Caenorhabditis elegans: one gene and its partner. The protein of the gene in region 1 purifies or fractionates together with the protein of each later gene. This does not show direct contact. Each region holds a gene or a part of one and is shown in the gene's direction. Other genes may lie near its edges. The genes, in order: Y69E1A.5 and oig-2.

Region 1 (3,377 bases):
CTTTTTGCACTTCATGCATTATTCTATAATAGTTTGGTGAAAACTAGCGGAAATTTTGCAAGCGGAAATTTAATGTTATGAACTTTAATAGAAAGGTTCTACAAATTTCAAATTGACTTCCACTGCAAAATTTGTTTCAGCTGCACTCAAACCAATAAACTAACGGTTTCTTCCATACTGCATGTGAACTTTTTTCGTGATTTTTAACACTGAAAATTAATTTACCTGCATATTAATCATAAATCCTTTATACATTTTAACTATCTTGGGATTTTTCATGATTAGAAATATTCCCAAAATGTTGAAAACCAATGCAAATGTACCATGAATTGAATAGAAAGTTAATAGGAAAGTTGGTTTAGTAACATCAATGGTCACTTCAGAATATGTATACATTTGACTTTTGAAAATCAGCTCAAGAGATTTGAATGATTGATTAATCAAAAATGGAAAAGAAATTAGAAGAAAGAAGTTAGAGAATTTGAAACAAATTAGGAGTGTGATTTGAGCAAAAGAGTCAGAAAGAAATGACTATAAGGGCGTAACTGATTAAAATAAGCTAGTTATCCGTCCAAATTCACCTGTCGTAGTCTTGGCATATCTTCTGGAAAGCTGAAATAGAAAGGTGTCAAGTGGTTAAACAACGTTTCGAATCAATTGTTTTAGGAAGAGAGTACTGTACTTTCATAAATATATTCAGGAGTATATGTGTCTGAACTTCTGAACTGTATAGATTGTCGAAATTTTCAATTTATCAGTAATTATTTGGTTGACAATTTAGCTCAAAAAATGAAAAAATTCACAAAATAGTATCTTTAGCTAAAGGTGTATGCTGGTTGAATGGCAACTCTGTATTTCATTTTACTATTGAAGATTCTACTTAAAATTACAAAGTCCAATAGAAAAAAAATTTAGTAATTTTTTTTACCTAATTCAGTACAGTCGTGAAATTTAGCAGTTCAAAACTTTCTCATTTTCATATTTTATCAGAACATTCGAAAACCACATTCAATCTCTGATGAGTAGGCATCCGGTGGAAAGATCGTTCAAATGAAGAGATTTAGAGTCAGATGGGGGCGGTCAACTGTTGTTGTGCTTTTCGTATGGGTTAAAGATGAAGAACAAGAAAGATATGAAAGTGTAATCTGAGTTCTTCCCGCCTTTTTGCTGTAATAAGTAGTACATCACAGTCAGTAGAATGACTCTCATAACTGCCAGATGAACCGACGTCGTAATTATTTTTTTAGTTTCTGGGCTAAGCATTCAATAGTTCAGTTTTACCGAGGTGAATGGGGTTTTCCAATAAAATGCTTCGTTTTTCATGGAACCTAATGTTTTAATTTCTTCCCTATTGGTCCTGCGCTCATTGCTCTCTGTTAACAACTTGTATGGGTAGAAGGTAAACATAATGGTAGGTAGGCATTCGGTTAGCAGAAAGGTTTGAGTACTGTCTTCCAACCTATTTTTTTTCAAATGGAACCAATCGTTTATTGTTTTGGGTTTTTTCCTTTTGTTGTTGTATTTCTCTTTTTGTATGTTCCATTACTTTTCACCTCTGATTCACCAGCTTGCATTGTACATCTTGCTCTTATTTCCATCGCTTACCATCCATCACCCCTTCCTCCCCCATTACATTGTGCTCAATGCTCTTTCTCTTAGTTCCCACGTCACATCTCCAGTTTCTTTATCTTCTTTTCTCTCTGTTCCATGTTGTTGTCTGCTCATAAACCGCCTTGAAACACCTGTTATTTTTCGTTATTTTCTTGTTTTCTTCAGTCTTCTCATTTGATAACCTCATTTTGAAAATCGTCTTCCAGAACACATAAAAAATGTCCGACATTTCTGCCGCTTTTGCTCAACACGAGATTACTCCAAAGATTATTGAAAATGCCCCAAAGCAGAAGCTTCATGTAAGTTTTTTTTAAAAGTTAATTGCTACAACATTGAAAATTCAGTTGTGCTGGGACGGAATCCAAGTTGAGCCAGGAATGACTATGCAAGTTCGCAACCTTAAAAATGCTCCGAGATGGGCTCTTCCAGGAGCTGACCCAGAATCAATCTACACAGTTCTTATGATTGATCCAGATAACTTGTCAAGAAAGAATCCATCTGTTGCCGAGTGGCTTCACTGGCTTGTCTGCAATATTCCAGCCAGCAATATTATTGATGGAATTAACGGAGGTAATAACTATAATAAAACGCGAGAATACTTATAATTCACCTGGCTTCTGTTCTCAAATTGTTGATGGTGATAATAATAGGACACACTTATACCTACGATCACGAAATGTATGTTTTCCAGGTCAACATCAAATGGCATATGGAAGCCCAGCTCCAGGACCAAGAACTGATCTTCATCGTTATGTGATTCTTATGTGGGAGCACGCTGGAAGACGCATCTCTGTGCCGAAGCCTAGCTCTCGTGCCAAGTTCAACGTTAAACAATTCATCGAGAAGAACAAGTTGGGAGACCCAATTGCCGGAAATTTCTTCCTTGCTCAACACGAGGGATAAATATTGTAATTTAATGTGTAATTATAATTGGATAACAACGAAATAGCCATTTTCTAATTTGAAATTATTTCTATGTAATAAAATTTAATTTTTGTGGTTATTGAAAATTCACTCCATGCTCAATCGAGGGAAATAATATAATAATAATATAATATCGAAAGTTGGCTAATAACTTCTTCGGAACAATTATGACAGGAATAAGTCCAGGTGGTTAAAATGTAACAGAATGTAAAGAAAAAGTTACTTGAGCAAAGCTAAAGATCGAACTCATTCGAAGTTTGATGAATCTATTGTTTTCATGATATGTATACGTTGTAGTAATTTCAATTTCTTTATTTCTACGAATAAAAAGTCTAAACGAGTTCAGGATCATTTCTTGGCCTTTCTCTCCTTTTCAAATCCACGTTTCTTGTCTCTGCTCTCCGGCCTGAAGACATTGATCGAAATCTTCAGTTTCTTATCAATACTAAAAACAGCCGCTGTGTTGTCATTCTGTCCACAGTAGTTTGGAGCCGAAAAAATTGTGACCAGACGTCGACCATCGAAGAATTCATAGCCATCTTCAACAACTTGATGACCACGGATAACCATTTGAAGATCCAGTTTTTTCAGAAATGCACGGAGAGCTGGTGGTCCGAAGACAAAAGATGCACCACGTGCGGATGGTTTATAGCCTTTTTCAGTCTGAAAAGATATTTATTATTTTAAAATTCTGAATGAACGCATACCGGATCAGGATCAGCCCATGTCAAATCAGTTAGAACACCAACATCAGGAATCTCGAGTGGTCTTTTGAAAACCGAAAACTGATTGAAACTTGTCAGATGCTCACTGATTCCTCCATGCATACACATAATCGTATT
Region 2 (4,076 bases), on another chromosome or scaffold:
AGATACTGAAATAATTTTTGGCGATTTTCGGCTTTCAGAATTTTCAGAATATTTTGATTATTTGAGGTTCTGAATTGTTGGTTTTTTGAAAGATTTTTCCATGAAACTTTTTTGCGATTTTCTGCAAAAATTCCCACGAAAAATCTCAAAACTGGAAGGTATAAATGCGGTGACAAATATTAAAAAAAAACAATTCTCTGATTCCGTACAATTTTGCAAAAATTTCCAGCAAAGCGACAGGTATCTTCTGATCTCATTCACTTCAAGTTAACGTCTATATTCTTTTCAACTCAGCGGGCTCAAGTCCTCTTGTGTCTTTTATAATTACATGTAGCATTAGGTTTCCACAACGACCACGTCTCCGTGCTCTTTTTGAAACACCCATAATTTACATTCCATCAGACAGCTCGATTCTGATTGAAGTTTTCACTTTTTTCGAAATTTATGTATTGCTCCCCCCGGGTTACAAGCATATGTATAGTCGATTTTGAAACGATTTTGTTTCACTGAAAGTTTAAAAAAATGTTTTTTGAAACCTAGAAAAATGTGTTTTTTATTATATTTTCCCCAGAGTTGCATTTCTTTCTAGCAAATTAGAATGCCCAGAGTAGTTCAAAAAAATGTTTTGCCCCTTGTCTTTGTGATATCTTTTTCCGTACCTTCCTCCAAACTTCTCACCACAACCATTATATGGGCGGAGCCTAATAAACCCCTCCTGTTTCACAATTCAAATTTCCAGGTACATCATGTCATCAAAAGAGCTCTATAGACTCAAAACTTTCGACGATCACTATTTCGAAATGTCCACCGAATCAATCGGAGATCCTCTCCCAGATGGCAAGCCAAGTCCAACAGGGAAAAGCTTCCAACTATGTGATACCAGTTCCGAACGTCAAAGGAATTACCATGAAGATGGTTGTCACCTGGTGCATCCGTCATCGAGTCGAAGTTCCGAGCACTTCTACGTGGGAAGTTGACTATGTTAAATCATTGGATCGAGAGGAACTGAAAGATGCGATATGGGCCGCCAAGTATCTTCGAATGCCAATTCTTATTAATATTACTAGTTCTGAACTGTTTTTGCGAGCCGAAAATACACCGGTAGAGAGGTTAGATGAAGTGTATCCGATGCCGCACTGTGTAGGCAGAGCTCCGGAGAGAAGCACCAAAATCACCATTCACAAATTCAAATAAACTTGGATACAATTATTTTTGTTTTCTTTTAGTACTCAGTTCATAAATATATTAAAGTGGGATCCATCTTCGTTTTTTAGTGATTTTACAAAAGTTTTATAGTAGAAAAAAACAGAAAATAAACTGTTGCGTTCAATGCTGAAACATTTTTCAATGTTTGAAATGATAATTTTATTCGAGATTTCCAATGAATAAATAACTTTTCATAGAAGGTAGTTTTGGGAAAAAAAATTGGAAATTTTCGCGTCCAGAAAGTATGGAGTCCTATCAATGACTGAAAATATAAAATACTCTATAAGAATAAGAAATTGATATGTTAATAATCAGAAAAATACAATAATTAAAAAAATTCATAGAATCAAGTGAATTATTAACCAAAACTTTAATTCTATGCCATTTCAATTGCTGTTCATCGCGTGTATCGAATTCATTGACTTGCTTTGAACCAACAAATCAATCAATGCCCTCAACATTTTTCTCAATATTATTAAACATGTTGGCTTCAGAAAAAAGTGCTCTTTCATCTCCCTCCGCCTACTCATCTCTCCATCTCTGCCCCTCAAATCTCTCAGCTTCCGTCACCTGTTACTGACGGAATTGATCAGTGAGAAGCTCTTCGAGCGTTTTCATTACATATGTTCAGCCATCTTATTAGTTCTAAAAGGTTAGTTTCAGAATGGTTTTGGCTCCGTTTTTCGAGAAAGCTCCATCGCTTATCATTGCTCCAGACGGATCAGTTCTGTTCGAATGCATCTGTAATGCGAATCCACAACCAACAGTTAAATGGTAAAAGATTTTGGTTTATGAACCCCTAACCTTAACTACTGTAGGTTTTTGAAAGACAAAGAGCTGACTGGTGATCGTTACGTGTCAAAGATCAAGAAGATGGTTGGCAAGTTCACAGTTACACTGCATATCAAGGTAAGTAAGATTTTTGTAATACTGATAAACTGATCGGGATTCTAGATTAAGAAGAGAATAAGAAGAAAGGAACGGATAGAACACTTGATCTGGTTTTTAGAGGGAAACTTAAATTGTAAGAACATGGTGTAATATTGACCTTCGAAACACTTGCCTCGAGATTTTGTTTCACATTTATTTTAAAGTAAAAAACTTCAGAAACAATTTATTGACCTAGAAAATGTCGGCCATTCTTTTAAAAACCGTTCCTGGAAAGTTTGGGATGGTCTCCGGCAGGAACAAAAATTGAAAATAGGCTATACAATTTCGGAAAGTTTTTTTTTTCATTTATCGGAATCGAACATATATTTAAGGGCTGTGCGGTATTTTTTCGGCAAACCCACAATAATGTTTATTTCAAAATGATAATCCAACTTTTTTCATGCAAAATTAACATAGAAACGTAGAGAAAGGTTTGTTCTATCTGGAAAAAATACAAATTTTTTTGAAAAGTTTGAAAAAAAAGTTCAAATAGTGTCTGAAAGTTGTCGTTTGTCTAAACACTTTTAACGGCACTTTTTTGGCAAACGTCAACTTTCATGCACTATTTTTGATTTTTTAAAATTTTCCAACAAAAATAAATATGCACCATAACTGGCTAGATTCACCGTCGATGCACCATATCAAGTTAGATGCACCGTAACTGGTCAAATGTACCATAACTAGTTAAATGCACCATAACTGGTTAGATTCACCGTAACTGGTCAAATGTACCATAACTTGTCAGATGCACCATAACTGGGTAGATTCACCATCGATCATCAGCATAATTCACATACAATTTTTTTGAAATTCAGCTCAAAAATGAAGCTTGATGATGAAAATTAGGCAATGGGAATATTCATACTTTTTGAAAATAAAATTACTTTATATTAAAAATTTCAAAAAGTTGCTAAAAAATTGCCTCAATGCCGTAACACCCATCGGCATACTCACTTGGCACATTTTAAATCAAATGCCAATTTTGATCACTTTTTCATAATCTTCACTAAAATAACGCTATCTTCTAAAAGTACAAATACTTCTCTATATTTTCATATGAATTTCCAGAAATGAGCATTCTAGATAAGTTAATAACAAAGAAAATGTTTCCAGAACCCTACCCAAGAGGACCAAGGAGTTTACAAAGTGACTGCTACAAACACCCATGGCTCACACTCCGTTGAGCAGCAGTACATCTACAAATGCACTGGAAAAGAGGTTTTCAAGACTCTTGACTAAATTCTGCTAGATTTCTTTAATATTTCTTCCAATAAACTTTTCCGTCGCTATACTGTATCTTAATATCACTCGTAGAAGAAACAACGTGGTTATCATGTGATAAGAAGGTCAGAAATAGAGAGAAAAGATGTCAAAAATACTAGGAATTTTGAGTGTAGAGTTCAGAAAAACAGATTGAACAAAAAACGAAGTATACCCGATCAGGGAGATCGGTTTTTGGAAGGAAATAAAAATGATCACATGTGCAGAATAGTAAAAATGTTGATTGAGAAAATTTTGTTGGCGACATGTTGGAGTCAGATCTGTTCGAGAGTTCAAGTTGATAAGAATTCTAGTTTAAAAGTTTAGACTTTTGGTTTGGACATCTGAACTACAGGCTGATAGTTTAAACTGTAGGTACAGAATAGTATGAAAACCGTACGAGCAAACTTTGATGTCAATTTCCTTTGGTAAACATTCAGAATCAAAGATGGGAATGTTTGAAGACTTTTATGAAGTGTGCCAAATATAAAAGTACAATTTTTCAAAAAAAAAAAAAATTGAAAATTTTAATTTTGCGGCAAAAAGTGGCGCTAATTTTGTCGCCTAAAGTCTGAACAATGGCCAACTTTTCTATTAATTCATTGCATATTATTATTTGAAAGTTTTGAACTTGCGGCATTGCTACAAATTTCATATTAAGCTCAATTCTATGTAGTTGA

What was found.
Region 2: the proteins of Y69E1A.5 (region 1) and oig-2 fractionate together in Caenorhabditis elegans (co-fractionation; one large-scale study listed by BioGRID). This does not show direct contact.

What each region holds. Positions count from the first base shown.
Region 1 is NC_003282.8:10,956,096-10,959,472, reverse strand, and holds Y69E1A.5 (Phosphatidylethanolamine-binding protein), read left to right. Parts: upstream 1-1,817; 5' UTR 1,818-1,829; coding exon 1,830-1,910; intron 1,911-1,955; coding exon 1,956-2,181; intron 2,182-2,302; coding exon 2,303-2,514; 3' UTR 2,515-2,610; downstream 2,611-3,377. Other genes in the region: sri-19 (Serpentine Receptor, class H), read right to left, coding at 226-396; Y69E1A.4 (Serine/threonine-protein phosphatase), read right to left, coding at 2,884-3,198, 3,243-3,377.
Region 2 is NC_003280.10:13,005,958-13,010,033, reverse strand, and holds oig-2 (Ig-like domain-containing protein), read left to right. Parts: upstream 1-1,869; 5' UTR 1,870-1,870; coding exon 1,871-1,980; intron 1,981-2,024; coding exon 2,025-2,115; intron 2,116-3,249; coding exon 3,250-3,375; 3' UTR 3,376-3,421; downstream 3,422-4,076.